Linked DNA regions of Stegostoma tigrinum. The protein of the gene in region 2 interacts with the protein of the main gene of each other region in a biochemical or structural test. Links are inferred from orthologs where the notes say so. Each region holds a gene or a part of one and is shown on either strand. Other genes may lie near its edges.

The links.
Region 1: the proteins of pparg (region 2) and ncoa4 form a complex in vitro, tested with the Homo sapiens proteins (2 studies listed by BioGRID, with this or other methods). The link is inferred for Stegostoma tigrinum from reciprocal best matches to the Homo sapiens genes PPARG and NCOA4.
Region 3: the proteins of pparg (region 2) and hdac4 form a complex in vitro, tested with the Homo sapiens proteins (2 studies listed by BioGRID). The link is inferred for Stegostoma tigrinum from reciprocal best matches to the Homo sapiens genes PPARG and HDAC4.
Region 4: the proteins of pparg (region 2) and grip1 form a complex in vitro, tested with the Homo sapiens proteins (2 studies listed by BioGRID). The link is inferred for Stegostoma tigrinum from reciprocal best matches to the Homo sapiens genes PPARG and GRIP1.

What each region holds. Positions count from the first base shown.
Region 1 is NC_081390.1:6,288,867-6,296,635, forward strand, and holds the start of ncoa4 (nuclear receptor coactivator 4), read right to left. Parts: upstream 3,003-7,769; 5' UTR 2,876-3,002; intron 1-2,875. UniProt on the Homo sapiens protein: Cargo receptor for the autophagic turnover of the iron-binding ferritin complex, playing a central role in iron homeostasis. Acts as an adapter for delivery of ferritin to lysosomes and autophagic degradation of ferritin, a process named ferritinophagy.
Region 2 is NC_081364.1:24,839,592-24,847,046, reverse strand, and holds the start of pparg (peroxisome proliferator-activated receptor gamma), read right to left. Parts: upstream 3,021-7,455; 5' UTR 2,813-3,020; exon of another isoform or gene 2,730-2,812; intron 2,609-2,729; exon of another isoform or gene 2,500-2,608; intron 1-2,499. UniProt on the Homo sapiens protein: Nuclear receptor that binds peroxisome proliferators such as hypolipidemic drugs and fatty acids.
Region 3 is NC_081360.1:21,568,436-21,575,272, reverse strand, and holds the start of hdac4 (histone deacetylase 4), read left to right. Parts: upstream 1-3,818; 5' UTR 3,819-3,947; coding exon 3,948-4,056; intron 4,057-4,100; exon of another isoform or gene 4,101-4,880; intron 4,881-5,083; exon of another isoform or gene 5,084-5,098; coding exon of another isoform or gene 5,099-5,123; intron 5,124-5,475; coding exon 5,476-5,547; intron 5,548-6,837. UniProt on the Homo sapiens protein: Responsible for the deacetylation of lysine residues on the N-terminal part of the core histones (H2A, H2B, H3 and H4).
Region 4 is NC_081371.1:38,284,657-38,292,458, reverse strand, and holds the start of grip1 (glutamate receptor-interacting protein 1), read right to left. Parts: upstream 3,008-7,802; 5' UTR 2,675-3,007; coding exon 2,542-2,674; intron 1-2,541. UniProt on the Homo sapiens protein: May play a role as a localized scaffold for the assembly of a multiprotein signaling complex and as mediator of the trafficking of its binding partners at specific subcellular location in neurons.

The DNA.
Region 1 (7,769 bases), on a different chromosome or scaffold from region 2:
AACTCGCTTATTTACAGTAGTAGCAAGCGAAATAAGTTATTAATAATAGATAAAAGGTGGGTTTAAATAAACAGAAGGAGCCAGCACTTACTACTGAAACCAAATTCAAGCAATGCAAATTTAGCTAGATTAAAAGGGAACATTACATGGAATGAAGACAATCTTCCTGTAAGGATAATTGATGAATTTTGATATTCTTTGATGATTAGTGGCCAATCACATAGGATGAGACAAGGAGAAATAACTTCACATGAATGCAATAGCATAGTGATAATGTACTAGTAATCCAGAGGCCCAGGCTAATGTCCTGGGATATGGGTTTGAATCCCATCCTAGCAGATGTTGAAATCTCAGAGAATCACAATTGTTATGGAGACCATTCACCCCACTGTGCCTGCACTCATTCTATGACCTAGTGCCAATCTTCTGCCTTCTCCACCCATTCCTGCATACTATTTCTATCCAAATGATTATCCAATGCCCTCTTGAACATTCGGTTGAACCTACCTCCACCGCATTTTCAGATAGGGCATTTCATACTGCCATTACTTACCATGTGAAGCTATATCTCACATCATCTATGCTATCATTGTATATATTTAAAGTTGGAATAGACAAATTTTTGGTATCTCAGAGAATCAAGAAATTATGAATGGAAGACAGGAAAGTGGAACTGAAGCCCAATTTATACTAGGATCCAACTAGGGTGGTGAAGCAGGTCTCCCTCTTATTTTTTGTATTCTTAGAAAAAAAATCAATTTTCACTTTTAAAAAATAGCATTTGGAATTTTCACTTCTAACCACAGGCTTCCACTGATTATGGCAAGAGCATACAAGACTTTAAATCTCACCTTGTAGCTTTATTTTTAGTCTCAAGCCCCTTTAACTGAATTCTGAAACAAATTTAACGCAAACTGCAAAATAAAAACTGCATTACATCAACTACAGACTTCACTGACGCCACTAAAGTTTTATGACCTTGAAAAGATTGTGATCTCCCTTATCGTGGTCAGTGACATACCTGAACTACAGCTCATGGTGTCAACAAATTGTCTTGGAGATTTCATAATCTAGACTATGAAGAGATTTTGTTCCTCACAAAAACCATATAAGCTCAGACCACACTAAGTAATGTCTTCAAAACCAGAATGAAGAAAAACACTCCGTGATGCAAATAACCTGGTGGCAACTTCAGGGTGAGTTGACTGGGTTCAGGATTGTCACATACAATGTAAAATTAAAATAGGTCATTCAGCCTCTCTCCAACATCCTCACGTTATTATGTTGTTTTTAAATTAAATGCCTGATACAAAAAACAGCTTTTATGGTGGGATTTGGAGACATTCAGGTCCAGTTTTATAACAGCTGATGAAGATCACCATTTTAGCCAAGGCGAATGACCGGGAACACGTACACTAAATTGTTAATTCTTGTGTAACAATACAACATTGCATCTATTTGAAAAGATTCACAGGTCCCAGGCAAATCTTTCTTCTTAAGAAATATCAATGGGATTTTAACTGCTCCTAAATTACTGACATTGAAGTGAATCACAGCTGTGAAGAAGCAAAGTCCTTCATTTGTTGAAAAATTCTTTAAAATGTCCTGAAGAAATGAAAAATGCTATACAAATGCAATCTGGTTATTTCTGCCAAAGTACATCTCTAGCTATATCACAAAGACTGAAGCAATTGCAATGTCTTTCTGCCTGATGTTGTTGAGTGTCGTGAGCATTCCTAATTGTCACATGGAATATGACTAAAATAATATATAGTCCCTTGGTGCTTATAACATATAACTCAGGCTGCGTAGGTAGTTAATTATTTTAGTAATGGTTGGCAGTCAAAACATCCACATTGGCACTTAAAAGTGCTCGATCCTTGACATAAAAACTAAAACCAAAAAGGCAAAGATAAAAATAGAGATATTCCTATTAGCATATAATTATGTTTGCCCTAAAGTCTATTCACAAAACTACTCAATTGTTCAGTTTATAAAATGGCTTACTAACACACATTTTACAAATGAAAACTTGCTTTGTGAACTGCATATTTCTAAGTGAGCAGAAACATATGGGCCCTGTTTGAAAGCAGTGTTTGGCATCACAGTAACATACAGACAAATGAATTAGGGGCAGAAATAAGCTATTCATCCATCTATACCCACCACCCCAACTCCAAGGGGGCCCATGTGGGTATCAATGGTCTTTTTGATCTGAAGAAAGTGAGGGGAACTGAAAGAAAAGTTGTTTGAAGTGAGGACAAGCTTAGCTCCAGGTGGAGGCATATGACGGTGGACGGGGACAGTTCAGGCCTTTGTTTCCAAGTAGTAGCTGAGCACCTGAAGACCTTCCTGATGGGGGATGGGCGTATAATGTTATGGTAAGGAGGGGGCGGCTGGTACCCGTGAACTGTAAATTCTGAAACTGGGCAATCCCGTTTGTGGACTTCGGGAAGAAGGTAGAAGTGAGCTGTACGGGGTTTGGGAACTATAGGTTTGGAGCCTGTGGCTTTTCCATCGCTAATCTGTTTGTGTTTTTGAATTCCACGTTCCATCTATCCCCAATGACCCACCGCGTCCGTGTCCGACAAGAGTCCATGTACCTCTGAATATGTTAAGGCAGAATTCCAAAGCCTCTGAGGGTTACATTTCAAGGCTGAGATAGACAGATATTTACTCTTTAAGAAAATCAAGGGTCATAGGGAAGAGGCAGGAATGTGGAATCCAGGATGTCAAAAGGCGGAGCAGGCCCGACGAGCTGAATGGCCTACTTCTGCTTCTCTGTCTCTGATATTATCCAGCCTTTCTTCCCGCAGACCGTTTATCTATTTGTTTATTTATTTATTTACACCCCCTCCCCCGGTCCCTCTCTCACCAGCCGCTCCTTTCACCGCCGGCTCTGCTTCACCTTCAGCCGCGCGCCCTCTCAAACTTCCGCGAGACCGGTGCGGGCACGCCGGGGGTAGGGGGGAGGGGAGAGAATTGCGGACCTTCCCAATCGTAGCGCTGGCGAGAGGAGGGGGAGTTGCTTGTTGTTATCTCCTTTACGGCCGTAAAATCAAACACATTCATCATTGTTTAATTAACAGGTAACATTTTAACCGTAATTTCTTGGTAAAGGTGGTGTTATATCGACGTTGGTCATTTTAGAGTTACACCGAATTAATCAGAACAACCCCTCTGTTTGCCGGATAGTTTGATCTAGAACACCCACGGTGATGTAACTCTGGACGCGTCCATATGTGACGGCGAGGGGGGGGGTGAACAACAAGCGGAGGTCGAGTCCATTTTCAGCGAGGGGAGGCTGGGAGATGATGTTGCCGGGGATCTCCCATGTGTGCAGAGGCAGATACATCACTGGAAAGCATCACGACCAGGGCAGGTTATTGATAAAGGTCGGTTTGTTAAGGCACCGTGGAGACGTTCAACACAGAGTGAGGGTGGAAGAAGGAGGAGTGAAGGGAGAAGGGGATGGAGTGAGTCAGGAAGGACTGATGCAGTTTAAGAAGGCCCTCACTACATCCACCCCCTCTCGGGATTACAGTTGATGCTCAAAAAAATCCTGGCCTTGCCGATGATGCCAATATCCTGAGAAAGCATTTAAAAATGTAAAATGAACTTCTAATGAAGTAGAGTTAAGGAGCAGTAATATGATGCGGTAGTCTCTGAACCTTAATTGAGCCGTTGTTGCATCATGGTAGTGCCCCTACTTCTGAGCCAGAGTGCTTGGATTCAAGTCCCACTCCGTCCAGAGGATTTGTTTTTTTGTTGTGTATCTTTATTTACTCAGGCTTTGAGAGAAGGGCCTCTATCTGTTCTGAACTTCTACGGGTGTTGAAGGTTATACTGTATCAGCCATTAGAAGACAGGCCAAATCCCACTTGGTCTGGCAAACTAGAATAAAACACAGAGGGCTTGGGGACCGCTTTGCGGAACACCTCCACTCGGTTTGCAATAAACTACTGCACCTCCCAGTTGCGAACCATTTTAACTCCCCCTCCCATTCCTCAGACGACATGTCCATCCTGGGCGTCCTGCAGTGCCACAGTGATGCCACCCGCAGGGTGCAGGAACAGCAACTCATATTCCGCTTGGGAACCCTGCAGCCCAATGGTATCAATGTGGACTTCACCAGCTTCAAAATCTCCCCTTCCCTACCGCATCTCAAAACCAGCCCAGCTCGTCCCCACCTCCCTAACCTGTTCTTCCTCTCACCTATACCCCCTCCCATTTCAAGCCGCACCTCCATTACAGACCTACTAACTTCATGGCACCCCTTTGACCTGTCCGTCCTCCCCGGACTGACCTATCCCCTCCCTACTTCCCCACCTATACTCTCCTCTCCACCTATGTTCTCCTGTATGCATCTTCGGTCCGCCTCCCCCTCTCTCCCTATTTATTTCAGAACCCTCTCCCCATCCCCCTCTTTGATGAAGGGTCTAGGCCCGAAACGTCAGCTTTTGTGCTCCTGAGATCCTGCTTGGCCTGCTGTGTTCATCCAGCTCCACACTTTGTTATCTCGGATTTTCCAGCATCTGCAGTTCCCATTATCTCGAGTCACTCAATCTAATGGTTTTAGATGGAATCCCCCAATGTTTAAATACTGTGGTGGATAACGGAGATATTGTCAACCAGTTTTTATGCCCAAGGACAGGGGACTTTGGTTCATTTGGGAAAAAAAACTTAAAGTAAAAAAATGGAATTGCCAATATTTCTAGATTTATTTCCTGAACACATTCATTATTTTCTGCAGTAATATTTGCTGCAAATTTAGAAGAAACATCAAATTAATATGAGAGAAATCCATAGATTTGTACATCTTGGTAGGAGAGTATTCAGCCATCATGCCTGTACAGTTTGTCTCATTCTTCTACATTTTCTATGGACTCTGGTAATTTTGTTCTTCCATAATAGACAGGGAGAAACTGTTACTATTGTTGGAAGCATCGAGAACCTCGGGGGGCTTAGATTTAAGTTAATTGATGAAAGAAATAATGGGAACATGAGAAAAAAGCTTTTTTTACAGCAATTGATTAGGACCTGGAATATAGACAATAGGTGCAGGAGTAGGCCATTTGGCCCTTCGAGCCAACACCACCATTCATTATGATCATGGCTGATCATCCACAATCAGTATCCTGTTCCTGCCTTATCCCCATAACCCTTGATTCCACTATCTTTAAGAGCTCTATCCATCTCTTTCTTGAAACTATCCAGAGACTTGGCTTCCACTGCCTTCTGGGGCAGAGCATTCCATATATCCACCACTCTCTAGGTGAAGAAGTTTCTCCTCAACTCTGTTCTAAATGGCCTACCCCTTATTTTTAAACTGTGTCCTCTGGTTCTGGACTCACCCATCAACGGAAACATATATGTACAATGGACTCAGTTGAGGCAATCAAGGGGATTTGGAGCACTAACTGAAAAGTAAAAAAAACGTAGGGCTGCGGGGGAAAAAGAGGGGTGGGACACCAGGTAAATTGTCAGTTCAGTGAATCAGTGCAGACACCAAAGGCCGAATAGCCACTTGTGCTGTAATCGTCTGTCATTAAGTTTTTTTTTCAATGATGTTTCCATTTCCATTTCCCTTTTAGAATTTGTTATATATTCTGTTTCCATCATCTTCTGGTAATGCATTTTACATCTTCATAAATCTTTGGATTATGACTAGCTTCTTATCTATCCCTATGCCACGAGTACAAATCTTGCTGGTTAGGCTGCAGTGTTAAATTATGTCTGGTAATTTGGCACCTAGCATGAGATAACTAACTATAAACACTACAGGATTGGATGAAATGTCAAAACAAGGCCCTGTATACCATCCCTGACGAGCATAAAAGATACCATGTCAATATTTTGAGAAATGTGTGGGGTGTTTGTCAATATTTACTACCAAATAGTCCTCGATTTAAAAATAGATAATCTGGACACTATCACACTCCTTTCTGCTTGTGGGAGACTGTTATGTACAAATGTGTCGCACTTCCTACATTATAACAGAAAAAACACTATAAATGTATCTAATACCTGTCATAAACACACCTTTTCCTAATTTAAATGTCATTTTTCATCCAGGGAGCTCTGAAGTTATTAGTCCGTCTATCTGTCGTTTTTGTGCAAAATACCATGACGGTACCCTAACCATCTCCTCTTTGAAGATAGACCATTGCCCAGTTACTGTTTTTGCTGCCACCCTTTCATTCCATTCTATCTAGTCCAGCTTTGTTCTTGCCCAGGTGAAGTTGGTTTCCTGCCAGATGATCGACTGTTGTCATTCTCCAACATTGTACTAAACCTTGTGATGCGACAGTTACTGTCTGCTAAATGTTTCTCCCAGTACAATTGATCCACTTATTTGGAATATCATTTATTGTTGTCTGTACTCAGGTACAGGAGTACAGTGAAAAGATTTGCAATGTCGCCTGTTATGTGCCCATCTTAGGTACAAGTACCTAGGTATAAATCTTAAATACTAAACAGAAATAAAAAGAAAAGTAGTTGCAATATTTTACAGTGTGTAAAGAATAAGTTAGAAATAAGACATAGTTAAAAAATTGAAACTACAGTCAGATTTTAAAAATTCAAATAACATTACATTGCAGCCGCTCAGCATAGGGGCTTCCACAAGTGGTCTGACTGCCCACGCCGCAGCCCAATTCAACAACTATCCCCACTATGCTCCAAACCTCCAGTCCACTCCATACTCAGCTGCTCCAAGTTAAATTCCAGGACTGCATCCCCCATGCCGCCCTCCATCTGGGACTCGCTCCTTGCACCAGCCGCTGCTCCGGACAGCTCCCCCATGTCAGTCCTGCTCCAGGACTGCTTCCCCTGCACTGACTTGTTTTCATTTCTAACCGTCAGCTCCAACAGTGCGTCGTTTCTTGATGGACACATGTTGCAGTAGGAAATGCCCCTTAAGACAAGCTAGAAACATTCGCCCCATTTGCTGTCCCTTACTCTACCAATATGCCAGCCTGTATTTGGATCATTTAAGTCCCCATTATAATTAATTTACAATGTTGGCATGTCTGTTACTTTTTTGCAGATTTATTCCATTACATCCTTCCTTGTAATTGGTGATTTGTTGACCAAATCAAGCAGTGGAATTGCATATCATTTTTATCCCTCAGCTGTAGGCAAATTGAACCCTCTGTGGCACCCTTTTTCTCTCACATTGCAATGCCCTCCTTAACTAATACCTCCATCATTCTTCTGTTTCTTTTCTTACCTTTTCTTAATACCTTGTATCCAGGAAGATTAAATCTATAGTCCTGACCTTCTTGATGTTCCTTGGATTATCATCACAATATCATATTTCTACATTGGCAATCTATACTGCCTGATCTTATTTAGTACATTCCATGCATTCACGTACAGTTGACTTTGACTCAGACTTCATTGCTGTCTTATTCTGGCTTCACCTTTAGTTTACTGTTCTTTATGCTAAAGCTTTCCATCTCTCCAAATATTTTGTGAGCCCTTGTATTCTTCTCTAATATCCTCCCATAGTTCCCACACCCCTGCCAAGGTAGTTTAAAGCCCATCCAGCAGCAGCAGCAAAAAACCCACAAGGAACTCAGTCCCAGTTCTGTTTAGGTGTAACCTGTCTGTATTGTACAGGTGCCATCTTTGCCAGAACCAGTTCCAGTGTCTCAGAAATCTAAAACCCATCTAAAGTCTGTACCAGAAAAGTCTGAAGAAGGGTCTCAACCCAAAATGTCAACTTTCCTGCTCCTCTGATGCTGCTTGGCCTGCTGTGTTCATCC
Region 2 (7,455 bases):
TACGAGATCCTCAGTTGGGGTTGTTAACCTGGGCCAGAGATCCCTGGACAACAGATATAAATGGGAGATTCAGAATCTCCTCACTTTGGGGATTAACTCTGAACTGGCTGTCCACGCATAAATAAAAGGTCATCGGTAACAGGATACTGGCCTCTGTGCAGTTATTTCATATACAGACTTTCATCTTTTGTATATTAAATATGGAGGTTTTGGCAATTGGGGGTGAGAGGATGGTATACGATGTGCTGATGAGGTAGGGGAGGTTTGAAAGTGATAGTCACCGCTACATGACATCACATAATTATAGAACTGTTAAAGTGCAGAAGGAGGCCATTTTGTCAATATCGGCCATTCAGATGAACATTTCGCTTTATGCAATCCTTCTGTCTGTGCACTGTAATCCTGTACATTTGGTCTTTTTGGACAACAATTTAATTCCCTTCTGGATGCTTTAATTGAATCCACCTCCACTCCACTCCTCACAATACATTCTAGGCCTTAATAATATTTTCTCCTATCCTTTTGGCTTCCATTTTCAATTACTTTATATCACTGTCATTTCGTTCCCAAACCATTCATCTCTCAAAAAAAATTCTAAATTGTTCACCTTATTACATTATAACTTGAATTCATTGAATACTTCTTACCAATCTTTTCTGCACTCTTTCTAATACCTTTACAGCCTTTTGAAAGTGTGGTGCCCAGGACTGTGCGCAATACTCTAGCTTGGGTTAACTAGGGTCTCACACAAGTTCAACATAATCTCCTTGCTCCTGTGTTCTATGCCCTTTATTGCTGTGTCATGTTTGTCCAGCCTGTTCTCTGCAAAGGTTATACTAGCTTGGATTTTACAAATTAGTTTCACTGAGTTAATATGAAAAAAACAAATGAAAACATATCTTTTGAATTTAAAAATTGTACAAAGCATCCCAACCTCCTCAATATTCAGCCTGATGCTTCAGGTCTATGATCCTTCGGTATAAAATGTACAATGTACATGTAGGTTGATTAATAATTTGAATATAATTTCTCCGATAAACTGAAAAAGTGTAATTAGTCAAATAGTCGGGGCCTGCCCACAAATCCATGTGAAATGGAGCTTCAAGAGAGCTGAGGACACCATATGTAACTTGCTTTGCCTGCAACAAATGAAGAAAATATAGTAGTAACACAGTAAATATGAAAAATGTCTTTATTTTTCAAGTCGTCAACACGTTACCATGGCCTGACCTTGTGCAGTAAAAATAATTGAAAAGCATTGGAAGGTAGCTCTGGAAAAGTCAGTAATTTGTAATCTGCTTAGCATGCAGTCTTCTGCTACATTGTCAATGCAGTTAAGCATATTTTCCAGATTTTGTGCTGCAGCGTGGAATCCTGGAAGACCTCGGTGGCCTTTATGGCTTCAGCTGTGGAAATGGGTGGCCACTCACCAGATTCTTCAGGGCCACCAGGATGATAACCTTCCTTTTCTTACGTTGATACATTTCGTCCATTTTCCTGATCCTTGCTTCAGAAACGCTGGCGATCATTCGCGTACCTCCGAGTGTGTGTAGTGTCGTTATGTTTGCAAAATAGTATGGCTTCTTGGACATTACAATCAGAGTCAGCTTTTCAATGCCATCCTGCAACAGCAGGTTCTTTGCTTTACTTTCTGTCATTAAATATTTCATCTTTAAGCAGTAAACAGCAATCTAGCAAAAGATAGTAAATCAGTTCCTTTTCATTGATATTAAAAATGTTCCTTGGTGTATATTCATTTCGGATGTGGGTGAGACCATTTTGGAGCTAATATTACAAGTTTGCTATGATTTTGGCTCTAGCATGTCCTGACACCAGTCTGATTGATTTGAACAGTTACACAATAACGTGTGTATACGTTCTGCTAATCCAGAGTTATCAGTCCAGAACTTAGGTTCATCACAGGCATCCTTCTATTAGATTTCCTGTTCTGCCCACAGAATGGCGGATAACCTGATTCAGAGTTTCAAATTATCTGAATTTGACCCGTCATGATTTCATTGTATTTTAATGTAATTAAATTTATTTCAAAATGCTTAAACATACGTGGCTAAATACTTCAAGGTTTTTTATGAATGTTAACGTCAATAATGTTTCACAAAGCAGTTTAAATTCTTATCGCGAAAAATGCTTAGACCATTGATTAATGCTTTTTACTTGCGCAACATCGTTGTATTCTTCAATGGAGATTTTTGAACAATAGACAAAAGTAGCCAAACATAACATAAACCTAGATAATTTAATTCCCCATCTATGATTAGCATCTGCAAAAGATGAAGTATCAGCGACAGTAACTCCGATAAAGCGACATACCACAGCCACATGACTTAGTGCAACAAACTGGGCACCTCTTCTGAAATATTTATTCAATTTAGCGCTTCTGAAAGGAGTTCACTTAGTTGCTGACAAGAAATAATATAGAGTTGGAGTCATACAAGGTATATATGGTCATCTTTAAAAAAGTGAATGAAACATCCCAACCTGCTCAATAGGACTGTGAAAGTTCTGCAATGTGTTTTCAGGGGTGATGACTTAAGTACAACTGGAGCTGAATTCTTCAGTGCAGAGTACTGTGAGCAAATTGCTCTGTCCAAACTCTTTCCACTCGCTTGGTTACTCGATATTTAAACACCCTCGTACTTGCCCTTCGCTACGTCCCAATGTATTGATTTACAGGCAGTTACATCAGCACTTTTCTAAACGACACTAACCTTGACTCTTCAAAGCATTCAGCACGAATGTCGGTCGCTTCCCCCCGCGGCACTTGCCCGGCAGGAGCAGGCGTCACGTTTACCTGGTTGCTGGAGGTAGATGCAGCTTCTCGCCCCCGATCTTGCCGGGCAGGTTTGCGAGCCGCTCCGCTGTGGTCTCAGGTGCTCGTCGGCAGCGGGTCGCCACTGTCACAGGGTTCGCAGCCACGCGCTCCCCCACTGGCAGCACGGGCGATTGTCACAGCGAGGGGCGGGAAGAGGTGGGCTGGAGCGCGTCACTGCGCGAGAGCGCGCGTGCCCGTCAGCGCGGAGCAGGCGCGCCCCCTGGCCTCCCACGGGATCGAAGCTGACGGCCTGGGACGGTCCGCGCGCCGCCTACCCTCCCCGCTCGGACCGACCTTCCCCGAGTTGCTGGGAGGCTCCGCTTTACTGCGCGCGCACACGCAAGCATAAGCGCGGTGTGGTCCACCCGCAACTTTTATTCTCGGCGGTCACGATCCTTACCACCCTTTATTATTGAAGTTTCCTCAAGCTGAGGGGGAGCTCCCAACTTCCCACGCAAATCGCAACTAGCTTGTGACACGCGAAAGCAAGTCTTTACAGGGTTTTTGTTTGCACTTTTGAACGATAGCTCTGCACTCAGCACTTTTTCCAGTTGTAAAATGGTCAGAATGGTTGAACACTCAAGAAACTTACACGGGACAATCCGCATCTGTTAAAAAAATTGACGACTACTTCTCTGCGTCAGAACATTTGTAGTGCAGGAGGATAAAAAGACTTAGTGGCATCGCAGCCTAAATTGAAGTGTCAAAAGCCTGGAACACACAGTACTGTTCTTTTCTATATAAGTACGGCCTGCGGAGTTTGCCACTGCTCGTACCTCGAAGTCTCTACCATTTCTGCCAATATTTGGCTACACCAACTTGGCGTTTTTGCCAAAGAGACACTTCTTGTATCAGGCAGTTAGCACCCAAAGGGTTAACTGGCATGATGCCAATCAGAATCTGAAGGATGGTAATGGCCTTGAAGTGTGTCTATATCTCAGCTAGAGACTTTGGGTTCCATTCCACCTATCCCAGAGGTGTGTCATAACATGCCTGGACGGATTGATTTAAAATAATTGTATAAGGCTGTTCCTGGGGGGAGTTAACTAGTTCTGCGTTTATTGACAATGTTTTACTAGCAGCAAAATGGACCTACTCTTAAGTTGAACCTGATCGTTCACAAGAGACCATCTTGTATTTCAGATGTGATGTAACTATTTAGTAATATATAACAAATGTATTTACTGTTTCACAAGAATTACTCTTTCTTCTGCTGAAAAGATTGTGTAGGCACCTTCCCCTTCATGAACTCAGAAGCGTGGACTGCTACCACTAAAAAAGGTTAGTGGCAGTGAAGCTACTGAGAGCTTCCCAGCCTGACCATTATAATATGCGTCAATAGTGGTCACCTGAAGATTTAATTTAGCTGCCCATTACAGTATGCTGGCGGCGGTGGACATCACTGTCTCACATAATATGATAGCGGCAGTGAACACAACCTGAAGAAATCTTCAGAACTACAAACACCTCAGCCATCTAAAGAAAGTAAGGAAGGCAATACAGTGTGGAGCTGGAGGAACACAGCGGGTCAGGCAACAGGAAAATCAATGTTTTTCAGGTTACTCCCTTCACCGGGACTGTTGGCACCTCCACATCTTGCTATCTCCGAATAAGAAAGGCAAACTCCTCTCAGGAAACTAAGTCTATTTTTAAATATCAGCAACTCAGAAGTTTCTGTCAGCTTCTGTGAATGGAGTAGCCAATAATTAAATGAGAACCACCACTGACAGCAAGTCCAATGCGGCGAGTAAAAGCTTAGAACAGCTATAAATGGAGAAATTAGTGAAATAAAAACTTGAATAGGCCATGGAAAGTCTTAGAATTACAAGGGAAAATATCCAAATCACAAAACCAGATTACAGTTGTTGATATCAAGACACCTAAAGTAAATTAAAACCATGAGTAGAAAGGCAAAATTTTGTATATTTAAGGTGGGTGTCTAGCCTATATCACTGAAAGAAGATTTAAAATGTTGCTTAAGTTGATCAGAACTGTTATAATTGTTTTAAAGTATCAGGAAAAGCTGCGAAAAATTCTTTATATAAAGGACCCTGATCAATAACATTCAGAAAACAGCAGTATGAATTGACTGATAAATGTGGAAAAATTGAACTTGGAAAAGTTTATGAAAATTGTTTTGAAGGGGAAAATCAGCTGAAAGTATTTCTTTATGAACTCTTAACATTCAAGCAAAATAGTGCAGAAAGCTCAGAGAAGAACCAAATGGGTGAGTCATCCATAGCCTTAAAAAGGGCAATTAAATCATGAAGAGTAATGGGGAAATGGTGCAAGTTAACAGTTTTCTTAGGACAGAATACTAAATACTAAATTCCTTACTTAAAAACATTTTGGTGTGATTTAAGTGTTTGAAAATAATTTTTCAGCATAAATAGGATAATTCTGAATACAGAAATTCTGCAACTTTGACATGAATTAAGAAGATTTCTGAAAAGGAAAATGAGAAAATAGAATATAAAATGTTTGCAGGCATGAAGAGACCTTAAGGATAAAGTTTTATTAGCAATTCATCTTCAATTTCTAGTGCTTAAAGAAAATGTTGCAATCTTTAGAAAATGTGCTGAAGAAGATTCAGCATCTATTGGAATTGAAGTGTTTATATAATTTAAAACAATGAACAATAAAACCAACTATATGTACAAAAAATATAAATTTCATGCTCTCAAGTGAATAATTTCTATAGGAGAAACAGTGGCAGTTTGGTACAATATCAACGGAGAAAGATATTACAACTCCAAACAGAATTTAGATCACAAATCCTTCAGACACAGCATTGCACAGCACTATATCAGAGAGATAATTCATGCAATATAGACAACACAGTATGAAGCTGGAGGAACACAGCAGGTCAGGCAGCATCAGAGGAGCAGGAAAGTTGATGTTTTGGGTCGGGATCCTTTTCTGAACAAAGTTCATGAATTGTCTCTTCGATATAGTGCAGTGCAATGCCCTGTCTGAAGGATTTGTGATCTAAATTCTGTTTGGAGGTGTAATATCTTTTCTGAAAAAGGGTCCTGACCCGAAACATCAACTTTCCTGTTCCTCTGATGCTGCCTGACCTGCTGTGTTCCTCCAACTCCATACTGTGTTGTCTCTGACTCCAGCATCTGCAGTTCCTGCTATTTCGCAATATTTTTGTGAATATTTTTGGTTTTGGTTTTGTGAAGGGAAGGTTGTGCCTCACAAACCTTATTGAGTTCTTTCAGAAGGTGACCAAACAGGTAGATGAGAGTAAACCGGTTGATGTGGTGTATTTGGATTTCAGCAAGGTGTTCGATAAGGTTCCCCACAGTAGGCTATTGTATAAAATGCGGAGGAATGGAATTGTGGGAGATATAGCAGTTTGGATCGAAAATTGGCTTGCTGAAAGAAGACAGAGGGTGGTAGTTGATGGGAAATGTTCATCCTGGAGACCAGTTACTAGTGGTGTACCACAAGGTTCGGTGTTGGGTCCACTGCTGTTTGTCATTTTTATAAATGACCTGGATGAGGGCGTAGAAGGATGGGTTAGTAAATTTGCAGACAACACTAAGGTCGGTGGAGTTGTGGATAGTGATGAAGGATACTGTAGGTTGCAGAGAGACATAGATAAGCTGCAGAGCTGGGCTGAGAGGTGGCAAATGGAGTTTAATGCAGACAAGTGTGAGGTGATGCACTTTGGTAGGAGTAACCGGAAGGCAAAGTTCAGGGCTAATAGTAAGATTCTTAGTAGTGTAGATGAGCAGAGAGATCTCAGTGTCCATGTACACAGATCCTTGAAAATTGCCACCCAGGTTGACAGGGCTGTTAAGAAGGCATACAGTGTTTTAGCTTTTATTAATAGAGGGATCGAGTTCCGTAACCAAGAGGTTATGCTGCAGCTGTACAAAACTCTGGTGCGGCCTGCACTTGGAGTATTGCGTACAGTTCTGGTCACTGCATTATAAGAAGGATGTGGAAGCTTTGGAAAGGATGCAGAGGAGATTTACTAGGATTTTGCCTGGTATGGAGGGAAGGTCTTACGAGGAAAGGCTGAGGGACTTGAGGCTGTTTTCATTCGAGAGAAGAAGGTTGAGAGGTGACTTAATTGAAACATATAAAATAACCAGAGTGTTAGATAGGGTGGATAGGGAGAGCCTTTTTCCTAGGATGGTGACGGCGAGCACGAGGGGGCATAGCTTTAAATTGAGGGCTGAAAGATATAGGACAGATGTCAGAGATAATAAAATGTGAGGCTGGATGAACACAGCAGGCCAAGCAGCATCTCAGGAGCACAAAAGCTGATGTTTCGGGCCTAGACCCTTCATCAGAGAGGGGGATGGGGTGAGGGTTCTGGAATAAATAGGGAGAGAGGGGGAGGCGGACCGAAGATGGAGAGAAAAGAAGATAGGTGGAGAGTTGCAATGGGAGAGAGATTCCCTGAGGTTGGTCCGGAGGGAGGAGGGTAACTTCTTCAGGTTAGGCATCCCTGGAAGAGGCTTCGCAGTGAGGTTAAAATAGTATCAGAGATAATGGGAACTGCCGATGCTGGAGAATCCAAGATAATAAAATGTGAGGCTGGATGAACACAGCAGGCCAAGCAGCATCTCAGGAGCACAAAAGCTGACGTTTCGGGCCTAGACCCT
Region 3 (6,837 bases), on a different chromosome or scaffold from region 2:
TTATGAAAGTACATTTATAAAAGTTGTGATTTCCTTTCAATTGCAATAAATTTGACATGAATGTGCAGCATGTTTTGTTTCATTTGCCAAATTATGCATGTCAAATTCAGACATTTGTCTAAGATATTTGCACACCAAACATGTTGTTTGACTACAGATTTTATTCCTCACCAACTCTCTTAAGTAGATAGACTGTTTGTTTTAAATTTTCATCCGAATAAGGTAAGTTAAATCTTGTTAATTAAGCCATGGCAATGTTTTTAAAATAATCTTAAATTAATCTCAAAATGAACCTTAACAGCAAGAAGAGAGTTTAAATGTTAATGCAGATCACCAGTGAAAATAAAATTACCTATTGTATATTTGTACAATTGAATATTTTTGGCATGCTTTTGTATCATTATTTTATTGAGAACTGAGCAATGTTTTGATTTAACTCTGGAGGTGGATTGTGCTGTCCCCATCATAAGTGCTACATTACAAAACCGCCAAGAATTTGATGATTTGAGAAATTTGGACTTTTGGTCAACTCTAGGAGAACAGAATCTGCTTGGATTTTTTAAAAGAGTATCTGCTGTGTCCTGAGCTTGAATAGTTTTTTTAAAAAACTTCATTCAGAGAAGGTGAACTTTGCTGGCTGGGCTAACAGTTTTTGGCCAATCCTTAGAATATGGGAATTAGCTACTGCCATCCATCTTTTATCTAGATATGCCCTCAGTTTTTAATAGTGGGGACTCGAGGATCTTGACCCAGTGCCACTGAACGAATGGCAATATATCCACTTTAGGATGGTGAGTGGCATGGAGAGGAGCTCGCAGTTCAAGGAGTTCCTTTGTATCTGCTGCCCTTATCCTTCTAGGTCATGTTCGGAAGGTGCTGCTGTCTAAGGAGTTTGGGTAAATTTTTGACAGTGCATCTTGTAGATGGTAAACACTGCTAATAACTATGCATCGGTGGTGGAGGGAGTCATTTTCTGTGGATCTGGTGTTAGTCAAGCAGACTGCTTTGTCCTGGACGGTATCAAGCTTCTTGAATGATTTGGAGCTGTACGATCTAGGCAAGTGGAGAGTGTTCCATCACACTCCAGACTTGTACCTAATGGTGGTGGTAGAAAAACACTGGGGAGTCAGGAAGGTGAGTTACTTGCTGCTTACTGAGATATCTAACAAAGCAAACATTTATTTACACTGTCTGTTGATTGCAGTAAGCTTGTTACCATTGTTTTTCAGTCAATCTGTTAAACTCCAGAAGAAAGAAAGAACACTTACAGCAATAATACTAATTTACAATTTTTGGTTATTTTAGCTGAGGGGATGGTAGTGCACAGATTTTTAAATGGATTAGTGGTAGTACATATTCATGAAGCCCCATTTAGAATACAGTGTCCAATTTTGGGCCCCGCACCTCAGAAAGGACATACTGGCCCTGGAGCGTGTCCAGTGGTGATTCACACAAATGATCCCTGGAATGGTAGGTTTAACATATGATGAACGGCTAAGGATCCTGGGATTGTATTCATTAGAGTTTAGAAGGTTGAGGGGAGATCTAATAGAAACTTACAAAGTAATGTATGGCTTAGAAAAGGTGGACGCTGGAAAGTTGTTTCCATTAGGTGCGGAGACTAGGACCCGTGGGCACAGCCTTAGAATTAGAGGGGGTAAATTTAAAACTGAAATGAGACGACATTTCTTCAGCCTGAGAGTGGTGGGCTTGTGGAATTCATTGCCACGGAGTGCAGCAGCGGCCGGGACGTTGGATGCCTTCAAGGCAGGGATCAACAAATTCTTGATCTCACAAGGAATCAAGGGCTATTGGGAGAGTGCAGGGAAGTTGCATTGAAATGCCCATCAGCCATGATTTAAATGGCGGAGTGGACTCGTTGGGCCAAATGGCCTTACTTCCGCTCCTATGTCTTATGGTCTTAAGACCGATTGTGTACTATTTATGTTAAAATGAAGAGGATAATAACACAGAAATTGGAATGCCTTCTGTCGACTCATGTATTGTTTCACATTCACAAAGATCAATGAAGATTAGGCTCGGAAATAGCCAAGATTAGCAGAACCAGGTAGAGATAAATTTAAAGAATTGATAATTTCTCTGTAAGGAATACCTCCTATTAGTGCATTAAATGGAAGTTTGATCTTTCTTTGTAGTCTGGTCATAAAATAAAATTTGTTGAACCTTTGAAGAATGCTGGTTTAACAACTTGTCAAATCATCAGTTTTTCTTTGTTTTTCTCCAGTATAACACCATTTCCTTTTGGATAGGCTTCAAGTTTGTTGCAATTGGATTTATGAGAATTATTTTTTGTAAATAAAATGACGTACTTGCAACTAATTACTAGTCAATTTATACCAAGTTAATTTTGAAGTATTTCTGGCATTGTAACAATACCTTTTCTCCTGTTAACTGTAGTTGATAACAAATCTTGGTGTACAGCAATATTAAAATAATCCCTAGTTTCGGTAGTCATATTCCAAAGGGTATGCATCTCTTTCCTTTACTTTATAAATTACTAAACTATTAGAACAATGATTTTGAAATGTAAAGAAAAACAATATTTTATGTATTCTCTGATCTACATCTTCAATGCATTAAAATTTAAAATTTCCTACTCATCAAATTATTGCTATGTTCAACCTCACATCTGCAATGTTCTCCTTTCCCAAGTCAGTGGTGTCGTCTTGACATTCCTGTCTGTAAATCCCTGCTTTGTCCAGCTATTAAACGCAAAGGCCACAGTGACCCTGACTTCTCTTCTGTGAAATTTTCTTTCATCTCCTCAAAATGTCATTTGACCAAGCTATCTGTCCTCCCCTAACTTCTTCCCCAGCTTTGCTGTTCAATTTCTTTTTGAATTTGTGAAGTGCTTTGGGGTATTCTTTTACTTAAAATTTATAATGAAGTAGTATTTATTGTTATGTAACTTTGTTATCTTGTAGAATTGCTACTCGATTGACAATGTCGATCAGTAATTGCTATCAGTTTAGATTAAGTATTTTAATGAATTGAGAATTGCGGCTATTAATGTTTTATTGTCATGAGCTGCCATATTGAATATAAATACCCTTCATGGCAACTTAAGAAATAAATATGGCTACTTCATCTACAAATACCATATGTTCTTGTGTAATGATTTTATAAATTGGCTCACGTTTAAATTTATAACGAAACTAATAATTAATATTAGGCTGTTGTTACTTTGGCTCGCAATTACTTTCACTGTCTTAACTTATGCATAATGTTTTCCCCCCAGTGGGTTTCCTACATAAAATTTGCTTATGATATATGCGGAGTAAACTAGTTCGCGCAATTTGCAATGTGCTCATGTTGACGGCGGACATCTTAGCAACATACGTATTCAACAGAGTATAGGTCCCTTTTATATTCTCCTAATAACTGCAGACAACTTGACAATAGCAAAGTGGAAAGACCTTCCTCGGCACAGGGAATCTCTGAGATTGGGGGTTTGTACCCATTCTCACGGCCATCTAGTTCAACTACCACTATGAACTATGGTTTGACCTGCCGGTTGCCAGTAGTGCACGCATGTTTATAAGGAAGTTATGTAACAAAATTTGGGCACATCAGGAGCGAAATGAAAATCCCATTTCATTCGATCAGCAATATTTTGTTGCCGAAGAAAGGCTTAATTTGCTACTTAGTTTTTATTTTTGAGGGATTTTGTGGAATTCCAAAATCGCAAAAAATAGAGGGGGAATAGGTACACTAATGCATAATATGGATAGGACTTCGTGAACTCCCTGTGCTTTTCGATTTTGGCTGGGGAATGGAACATGAAAGCTGATTGGGTTCAGCAAGTCGCTTTCTATCGCTTTCAATGTAAATAATATGCGACGCAGCTTGACTTTGGCGATTCCACATTGAATAGTGCTCCTTTGCTTGCGGAATATACAATAACTTATTCAGTTCGTAAGAATTGAATGAAATCGGGTCATTTCCTTGCTGATTGCGTCATTATAGCCTGCTGCTGGAGGTGCTTTCTGTCTTTTTACAATGCATTGGTGAAAACTGTCAGAACAAACTCGGGGGGTGAGGAGATATTCATTCTTTTCAGTGTTTCATATTTTAAAAGAAGCGGCGTTACTTACTCAGGTGTCGCAGTAGATAAGCAGTTGATTGGATTTTATGCAAGGAGTTACAATGCAGAAATTTTCCAAGTCGCCTGTACTGTATAGGAGTCACTGTAAATGGTACGTGCAATGCTTCTCCAAGCCGGTCCTCATACTTTGATTGTTAGATATTTTTGTGTGGCCTTGAATATGCAGTAGACGGTGGCTTGCATACCAAAAAAAGTATTACCATTGCCTGGCTGTTCCGAAAAGAGTCGAACAACTTCCCTCGTTGGGCCAAGTCATGGAAATGAAGCCAATTTTTTTTCCCTCTGTTTCTATCTGATTTACGCTTAATGTATTGTAATGCCACTTCGGTTGTTATATTACATTTTTGTATAACTAGAGTTTTGATGGCCTTCCGACGAGACGAAATTTGTTTTAAAAACGGCAAGTAAACTGTAGCACCTCTTTCGCCAAAGAGTTAAATGTGTGAAGAGCGAAGTGAAACTGGAGATCTGACAATCGAACAGAGGCGAATTCCAAAACAAGTTGAACTACTGATAATTGTTTCTTTTGCATTAGTGTGAAGCTGAAAGGAATCTGAAAGTCAGTCCAATGCCAGAAAGGTTCACAAAAATTTAATTTTAAAACGAAAGCCTAATCTTGCTGTAAAAACGGTTGTCATAAATCTGTACCCATCGAGCAGAGAATGCAGAATAGGGTAAGATGGCCCATTATATGTGCGTGTAACAGATGCAGGAGTTAAATAGTGTACGACTCCTGTATGTAAGGCGATTTGAAATAAATGTTATTCTCTCGATTTCATCTTTCAATCTGACGTTTCCTGACCATAAACAGAGTTGTTTCTCACTGGCCATTGAGGCCTGACATACTGCGTCCCTCTTGAGTTTATGCATTTTAATCTCCTGCAATGTTCAGGCTATTTTTAGCTCCCACTCCCAGGGTTCGGTTTCTGTTAACAGCAAGCCACATTGTTGGTAAATCACATGTAAAATGAAATGCCTATCTTTCTCTGCTTCCCCAGTACGTACGTCTGTGGCGAACGGTTGATATTGTGTTTTCAGTCACTTTGTCAATTACAAATGCATATTAGGATACAACTTGGAAAACATCGTGAAATTCTGACAATTTAAAGAAATGAAATATTATTTATTCCGAAAGGGCTCCATTGTTTATGATTTGAAGATTGGCTCCATGCCTAGGTAGGCGTGCGGTCTATGTAAACTTTGTGTAAAAGAAACAATCAGTTAAAAGTACTATTCTGGAGAGTGATTTTTGTCCCTACCCCGGCACCCCGCGCTGTTAGAAACAAAACTGCCTGGATTGCAACAGATACTGCAGACTGTAATTGCGACTGAATCCTTTTCAATTTCAGATGGACTTTCCGGTCGAGATCAGTCGATTGAGTTGCTGACCCCTTCAAGAGTGAATCACACGCCCAGTACTGGTAAGACCAAATTTTTAATTGAGACATTCATTTACCAAATAAAATCAAGTCACGAACTACCTTCTAGATGTTGCCAACCCCCAGAATGGAAACTATTTTACAATGAAGAATTGATACTGTTGGCTACTTAGCTGTGTTTTTGTTCATTCCGAAGTGTTCCTTTTTCACTCATGGGACGTTGCTGGTTGGCCATAATTTATTCCCCGTCCCCAATTAACTTTGAGAAGCTGGTATCGAGCTGCCTTACAGAAACGCTGCAGTCGATCTGCTGTGGGTTGAGCACCATGCCCTTGGGGAGGGGATTCCAGTATTTTGACCCAAAGAGAGTGAAAGAACAGCAGTGTATTTCCAAGTCAGGAATTCCAGGGTTTTAATTAGGATGGCAAGTGGCTTGAAGGAGAACTTGGAAGTAGTGGTGTTCCCATCTATCTTCTGCCGTTGTCCTTGTAGATGAGCAGTCGTGAATTTGGAAAATGCTGCCCAAGAATCTTTGAATTTTTGCAGGGTATCTCGTAAACAGAACACACCGCTGCTACTGAGCATCCGTGGTGGAGGGAGTGGATACTAGTAGATGTAGTGTCAATCAAACAGGTGGCTTTTTCTGGACGGTGTCAAGCTTTTCTTGAGTGTTGTTGGAGCTGCACCTAACTAAGCAAATGGCTAGTACTCTTTCAGACTCCTGACTTGTACCTTGTAGGTGGTGCATAGGTTTTGGTGAAGCAGGAGGTGAATTACTCACTAGTATTCCTGGACTATGACCTATTTTTGTAGCCACCATGTTTTGTAGCAAGTCCAGTTGCGTTTCTAGTTGATGTAACCCCCAGGGTGTTGATAGTTGGGGATGGTAGCACAATTGAATGTCAAGGGGCAGTGGTGAGTTGGTCATTGCCTGGCATTTATGTGGTGTAAATGTTACTTGCCACTTGTCTAGATCTCGTTGCATTAAAACATGGACTCCTTCTGGAGCCGAGCAATTATGAATAGTGCTGAACATAATCTAGTTGTTGGCAACATCACCACTTCTGGCCTCATGATGGAGGGAAGGTTATTGATGAAGCGATGATTGATGGTTAGGCCTAGGGCACTATCTTGTGCAACTCCTGCAGAGATGCCCAGAGCTCAGATGACTGACTTGCGACAGCCTCAGCCATCTTCCTTTGTGCCAGGTATAACTCCAACCAGTAGTGAGATTACCCATTATTTCCAGTTTTGCTGGGACTTCTTGACGTCATACTTAGTTGAATGCAGCCACAATGTCGACAGCTGTCACTCTCGCCTCACCTCTGGAGT
Region 4 (7,802 bases), on a different chromosome or scaffold from region 2:
AACGTGGAGGAGATGGGAGCATGGCATTGTGGCTTAAGATCAGCAACGACCATGCTGGAATGGCACAAGTCTGATGGTCCAGCTGATCTATTATTGCTCCTGTTTCGTGTTCACAAAAGCTCACAAACTTCCAGTGGTTATTTTTAAAAAATGATGAATATTTGCCGATCTTATCTGTGGCCCCAAAAATTCAGGCTAAATCAGTTGCCCTCTGAAGGGGGCTAGTATCACATTTGCATCACATCTTCTCTTGGAAACTGGAATAAACACCCCAAGTGTTAACATTGTCACTGACAGCCGCATTGCAAGAAGAGATTGTTAAAACTTTCACATGGGCATTTTAAAATACTTTTGAACATGAAACTTAAAAGGCAATGTTGTAATACAGCACAAGATATTATGTGCCAATAGCTACCATTACAAATTGTCCATGAAGCAGAAGTAACTTTAGAATTCACATTTGGGTTTTATTTTATGGGAATTCAACCAAAGTGACCCAATTCAAATTCAGAAGCAATACTGGAACACGTTACTATTTTAGGAATGCATTGACCTAATACACATTAAACCATTTCAAAAGCACTTCTTTCATAAGAGCATGAATAAATGTCTTGATCAATTGGTACATACAACAGATCTGTTAGATGTCATCTCCACTAGGATGATGGCTGACTCAACAATACAACATCATCTTTTCAGGGCCAGCACAATTTGTGTCATTACACTAGACAGTTCTGTAAACAACAATCAATAATGGCTTAAATGTTGCACGGGATGGAGAAGAGTACAAAATGAGAGTGTTGAATTAAAAGGTTAAAAATTCAAAATTCAACTTTAAATCTATTCTCATACATCCTACCACATGAAATCTAAACAGAGACAAAATTATTGGACAGAAGCATTTCTGTTCTTATTTTGTCAGTCAAAGAGTAGCACAAACAATGTTCATGGATATATCAGTGGCCTGAACCAACTAGACCTGTTCTAATCAATGTCAAACAAAGCGGGTTAACTCAGAAGAAAAGGAAAATAATAAAATGACTGCTATATACGAAAACGCAAAAGAGTGTTTGTGTTAACCAAAAAATGTTTTGCTCCAGCTCTATGTGACATCTGGGGGAGAGCATCAATTTCACCGTAAAACAAAAAAAACTAAAGAGCTGTTCATACTTAAGTAATTTCATGTAAATAGACCAAATAAAACTTGCTACATACCAAATAAAATTTAAACTACTATACTGAATGCACCAAAAGGATAGAAACAGAAGGATAAACTTTTAATTTTTAAAATAGAAATATGTACAAAAGTAAACTTCAAAGATTAGATTCCTTCTATCATTAGGTGAAACCTGTAATCAAACTGTAATATGGTCGGTAAAACTGTAAGCTTGTATGGTGACTGGTTGCTTGGACGTACAGTGCACAGCAGAATCCATACACAAGACAGATGTCACAGGATGTAACAGGGTACCTCCCTGACCAATCAGTTGATCAATGACATAGCTCTACACAAATCAGAAATGGCCCAAGCTTAACCTTCAGCATTCCTTCATGTAGCTCAGCTCATGATAATGCTTAAGCTGCAGTCAATGCTCCCAGTTAAAGAGGAGATTTTAAAAATACCGCCAGGGTGCTAGTCTTGAGCAGTACCCATCGATTCCTGCTTAAAAGTGCTTGGATGGATATTTGAGTCAAATAAAATGAGATTTGGCAATACACCGGACTGGTCAAATAGCCTAAAAAACATTAATTAAAGTGGTGCGTCCGTGGAAAGTGGCTGGTTTCAAAACATCTCAGTGCAGCTGCAGAATTTCATCTCAGCATGAGGGATCATCTTCACGAGGGGTTGGGGGAATGTTACCTTGCTTGTTTGTAACACCAAAGTTATTTAAACAAAGTCTAACAAGTAGCATTACAGACGTAAATAAAAGCTTTTGTATTAATCAAATGGATTATGCGCAGAATTCAACTCTGTTTTCAAAGCATTATGCAAAATCCTCAAATGCAACTTCTTTCTTAGTGGCTACCTCGGGCATTTTCTGTCGGCTGACAGGAGTCAAAGATCAAACCCAACAGAAGACTCCAGTCGCTGAAGACAACAAGATAGATCCCTGCAGTAATGGACTGTTTAATTATTCATTCCCAGCTCTGAATTTGAACGGACATTCTTGCTCATTTACTTCTACAAATTATTCAAAGCAACGCACACCTGAAACCATCTGTCAGTTGAAAACCCATCAACACACCAGCAATCCCTGGGCAATATACACGTGGAATTGGAAACCACTACTGTTTCAAAGGCATGTCCTAGACAGCAATACAGGTCAACACATCCTCAAGGGATATGCTGTATTCTGAGCACGGTCCTTGACAGTTCATACAGGCCAAGCGGCAGCAGAAAGTTTTGACAATAAAATACTAAATGATCATTTGCTTCCTCACATCTCATTATAATAGCCACTTGAGTGGTAAGAACACCGAAATTGAATTCCACATGCCTTGCTGCAAACTACTGTTAAAGAATAAGAAGTTCACACTTACTACGCAGTTGTTCAGAGGCATAATAGTATACATCTTCATATCCCTCATGATAATCCTCTTCTGGTCTATATTTCTTGCTTTTCCTTCTCCTCGACCTTCTCATTTGTTTCATAAGGTACAAAAATCGGTCCATGCTTACGCTTGTACCTTGTCAACCTGTTCACTGTCGAGGCGTTTAGCGGCAGCGCTACTCAACACAAAAGTGACAGAGCAGAAGTGGGCAACATTAAATAGACTGAAGGTGGTTGCACACTGCAGCCTTTTTCAAACTACAGCTCTCAGAGCCGTTTTAAACAAAGCTGCTAATATCTGTTAGTAAAGGCCAAGACGGCGTTTGAAGATTGAAGCCATCAAACTTAGAGCTGTAAAAAGACTGGAGAAACACCGTCTGACATTGTCCAAAAGGAAAGAACAAAGTTCAAATGAACTACTGACGGTGAGGGCAAGGAATCCCAATGCTTGGATTGCACTATCCAATCCCTCTCCTACTTATTTCATCACTCAGGGGGTGGGGGCGTGCATGCATTAATTTCTACCGACTGCACCAAAATAAAAAAAGAGATCAAACGTTACTCAACTTAATAATTAAGTCCTTCCACTTCACGCACACAGTGAAGCACACAGGATGCTGAGTAGCGGCTGACTTCATCTGCCAAAAGAGGGTTTTACAGTGGGAGAACACCACACACACAGCGAGCGAGCTAAATGGTTCAATCCACTCAGCACACTCGCAGCCAAGTGTCAATGTGTTAATTACAGCGGTAAGGAAGCTCAGCAGCTGTTTAAACTGACACCTTAGCTCTCTGGACGGTTGTGTTCAAATTGCGATTTGTTTTCAATGTTCAAGGTATTACCATGAAACCACAACATGTTCATCAGCAGTGGGAAGACAATTAGAGGTGGTTCAGGATACTTGAGTGTTTGATCTTTCAACCGAGTTTCCAAGCAACAGACAGACAGACACACACACACACACACACACACACACACACACAGAGTCAAGGACAATAGATTCTTACTGTTTAGATTCTCAGCAGCGTGAACGGATTAATTTTTTTGGGGGAGGAAGAGGTGGTTAACAGTCTAGACAAAAGTTAAATGCTGATTTTTTTTAGTAAAAGCACAAATCGCTTCAGGATAACACATTAATTACATATTCACAGATAAGGTAGGAATCTGTAAGGAATGCAAAATAAAATTACATTCCTTTGTCAGTCAGTAAGGCATCGTTTGCATAGAGTCGTCAAACAGTGATTTTAGTGCAGTCCTTTGTTTTACTGACCCGAGACTTCCAGCAGCCGGAGGTTTCGGATTGCAGTTAATCAAACCATTTCTCAATGAGGATTGCTGAGTGGGGTATTCTGTTCTGCTGTGAACAAGATTTTCTTCGATCTAAGTCAACCAGCAAGTCATTTCATCTTCAAATGAAATGTACTTTGAAGTCACCCTGAGGATCAAGTACCTAGTTTCTTTTTGACATGGCAGCTAAATTTTGATCCTTTGCTTTTTTTGTGAAAAGGAACATGACACACTAGGGAATCAGGAGGAGTTATAAAATTATTTCTAAATTACATTTGAATAGAAATGCTAGTTTTGAGAGACTGTCTAAAGTTATTTCAAAACAACTTGTATACAACCAAAAATCGATTTAATTAAACTATAAATATATTAAATTTTATTGTTGCCAAATGTGGTAACACGGCTATGTTGTTGGTCTAATAATTCAAAGGGCTGGGTCCTATTGTCATGGAGTCACGAAGCACTGAAACTGGCCCTTTGGTCCAACTTATCCATGTCGACCAAGTTTCCCAAACTATGCTAGTCCGATGGGCCACCTTCCTCTAAACCTTTCCTATTCATGTGCTTTGTCTTTTAAATGTTGTAACTATACCTGCATCTACCACTTCCTCTAGCACTTCGTTCAACCTGTGAACTACTCTGTGTGACTAAGTTGCCCCTCAGATCCCTTTTAAGTCTTTCTCCTCTCACCTTTAAACTATGCCCTCTAGTTGTGATGTTCCCGACTCTTGAGAAAAGAACTTTGCCATTCACCTTATCTATGCGCCTCATGATGTAATAAACCTCTATAAGATCACTCCTCAATATCCTACGCTCCAGTGAAAACAAAATCACAGCCTATTCCAGTGGTTAGCACTGCCGCCTCACAGCGCCAGGGACCCGGGTTCGATTCCAGCCTCGGGCGACTGTCTGTGCGGAGTTTGCACATTCTCCCCGTGTCTGCGTTGGTTTTCGCCGGTTTCCTCCCACAGTCCAAAGATATGCAGGCTGGGTGGACTGGCCATGCTAAATTGCCTGAATTGTTCAGGGAGGTGTAGATTAAGTGGGTTATAGGGGATGGGTCTGGGTGGGATGCTCTGAGGTTCGATGTGGACTTTTTGGGCCGAAGGGCCTGTTTCCACACTGTAGGGATTCTAATGATTCTATCCAACCTAGCCTTATAACTCAAAGCACTCCAGTTCCGGGCACAACCTCCATAAAATCTTCTCTCTGCATCTTCTCCAATTTAATAAAATACTTCCTACAGCAGGGCAACCAGAACTACACACAGTACTCCAAAAGTTAATTCTCCAATGTCCTCTACAATCTCAACATGGATGTCCCAACTCCTATTCTCAATGGTCTCAGCGATGAAGGCAAGCATACCAAATACCTTCTTTATCATCCTGTCTACCTGTGATGCTACTTTCAAAGAACAATGTACCTGACCCCCTAGGTCTCTGTTTGGCAACGTGACCCAGAGCCCTACCATTAACTGTACAAGTGTGCCCTTGTTTGGCTTATCAAAATGCAACGCCTCCCATTTATCCAAATCAAAGTTTATCTGCCATTGGCCCAAGTGATCAAGATCTCTTTGTAATCTTAGATACCTTCTTCCCCATCCATTACAGCACCAATTTTGGTGCGATTCTCGGAACACAAGTTCATATTCCAACCCAGTAGTTGTAAAGTTTATATTCCCTTCACTAAATGAATTAGAACGAAAAGTTAGAGTAATGGGGACTGTGTGATTCCAGTGGACAATCATGGTAATATCTTTTCTTGAAGGAGACCTTCTGATCTTACCCTGTCTAACCTAAGCAACTCTGAATGTGCTATGAAATGGTGGGAATGTGCAGGTGCATGTGAAATTTAAAAGTGAATAAATGGTTGGCATCAACACCGCATGACATTCAGACCTGACCCTGCAAAAGCACAAGATAATAAAATGTGAGGCTGGATGAACACAGCAGGCCAAGCAGCATCTCAGGAGCACAAAAGCTGACGTTTCGGGCCTGGACCCTTCATCAGAGAGGGGGATGGGGGGAGGGAACTGGAATAAATAGGGAGAGAGGGGGAGGCGGACCGAAGATGGAGAGTAAAGAAGATAGGTGGAGAGGGTGTAGGTGGGGAGGTAGGGAGGGGATAGGTCAGTCCAGGGAAGACGGACAGGTCAAGGAGGTGGGATGAGGTTAGTAGGTAGCTGGGGGTGCGGCTTGGGGTGGGAGGAAGGGATGGGTGAGAGGAAGAACCGGTTAGGGAGGCAGAGACAGGTTGGACTGGTTTTGGGATGCAGTGGGTGGGGGGGAAGGGCTGGGCTGGTTGTGTGGTGCAGTGGGGGGAGGGGATGAACTGGGCTGGTTTAGGGATGCAGTGGGGGAAGGGGAGATTTTGAAACTGGTGAAGTCCACATTGATACCATATGGCTGCAGGGTTCCCAGGCGGAATATGAGTTGCTGTTCCTGCAACCTTCGGGTGGCATCATTGTGGCAGTGCAGGAGGCCCATGATGGACATGTCGATGTAGAGGTCAGTACGCCATACTACCACTGCGCCACCCTTGTCTGTCAGTGGTAGTATGGCGTACTGACCTCTACATCGACATGTCCATCATGGGCCTCCTGCACTGCCACAATGATGCCACCCGAAGGTTGCAGGAACAGCAACTCATATTCCGCCTGGGAACCCTGCAGCCATATGGTATCAATGTGGACTTCACCAGTTTCAAAATCTCCCCTTCCCCCACTGCATCCCTAAACCAGCCCAGTTCATCCCCTCCCCCCACTGCACCACACAACCAGCCCAGCCCTTCCCCCCAACCCACTGCATCCCAAAACCAGTCCAACCTGTCTCTGCCTCCCTAACCGGTTCTTCCTCTCACCCATCCCTTCCTCCCACCCCTAGCCGCACCCCCAGCTACCTACTAACCTCATCCCACCTCCTTGACCTGTCCGTCTTCCCTGGACTGACCTATCCCCTCCCTACCTCCCCACCTACACCCTCTCCACCTATCTTCTTTACTCTCCATCTTCGGTCCGCCTCCCCCTCTCTCCCTATTTATTCCAGTTCCCTCCCCCCATCCCCCTCTCTGATGAAGGGTCCAGGCCCGAAACGTCAGCTTTTGTGCTCCTGAGATGCTGCTTGGCCTGCTGTGTTCATCCAGCCTCACATTTTATTATCTTGGAATCTCCAGCATCTGCAGTTCCCATTACCCCTGCAAAAGCACAAAATTGTTTCAGCGCAGAAAAACACCATTCATCTCATTATGTCTGCACCAGCTCTCTGAATGGGCATTATGACTTCGTGCTATTCTCCTCTCTGTTCCCTTTAACCCTGTACATTGTTTGTATTCAAACTAACCATTACCTCATGCCCGCTTGCATATTTTTAATTGAACTTTTCCCCAATCAAACTTCCAGGCAGTACATTTCAGATCCCGACTGCTCAAGATTGTGAAAAAGTCTTTGTGAAAAAGGCAAAAACAAAGTCCATTAAATACTTGCCCTCTTGTTCTTCACCTTTAACAACTGGGAACAATTTCTTCATGTCTGCTTTGTCCAAGCTTTTCAGGATTTTGAAAATTTCTATAAACTCTCCTCTGAGCCTTCCCTTCTTCAAAGAAAACAGTCCCAACTGCTCTAATCTATCTTCATAAACTGAAGTTTCTCATTCCTGGAGCTGTCCTTGTAAACCTCTTTGGCAGTCTCCCCAGTGTGTTCATATTCTTCTTAAAGTGGGCCTTCCAGAACTATAAAATACTCCAGTTGATATCTAACTTGAGTTGTATACATATTCGGCATAACTTCCTTGCTGTTGTGCCTAACCCCACAATAAATTCTAGGATACTGTACATTTTATTAACTGCCATTTATGGCTGTCTTGCCATCTTATACACATATACACCTCAGTCACACTACTCCTGCACATCCTTCAAAATATTGGACTTACAGTTTACAATGATTCCAAGTTTTGTATCATTTTACA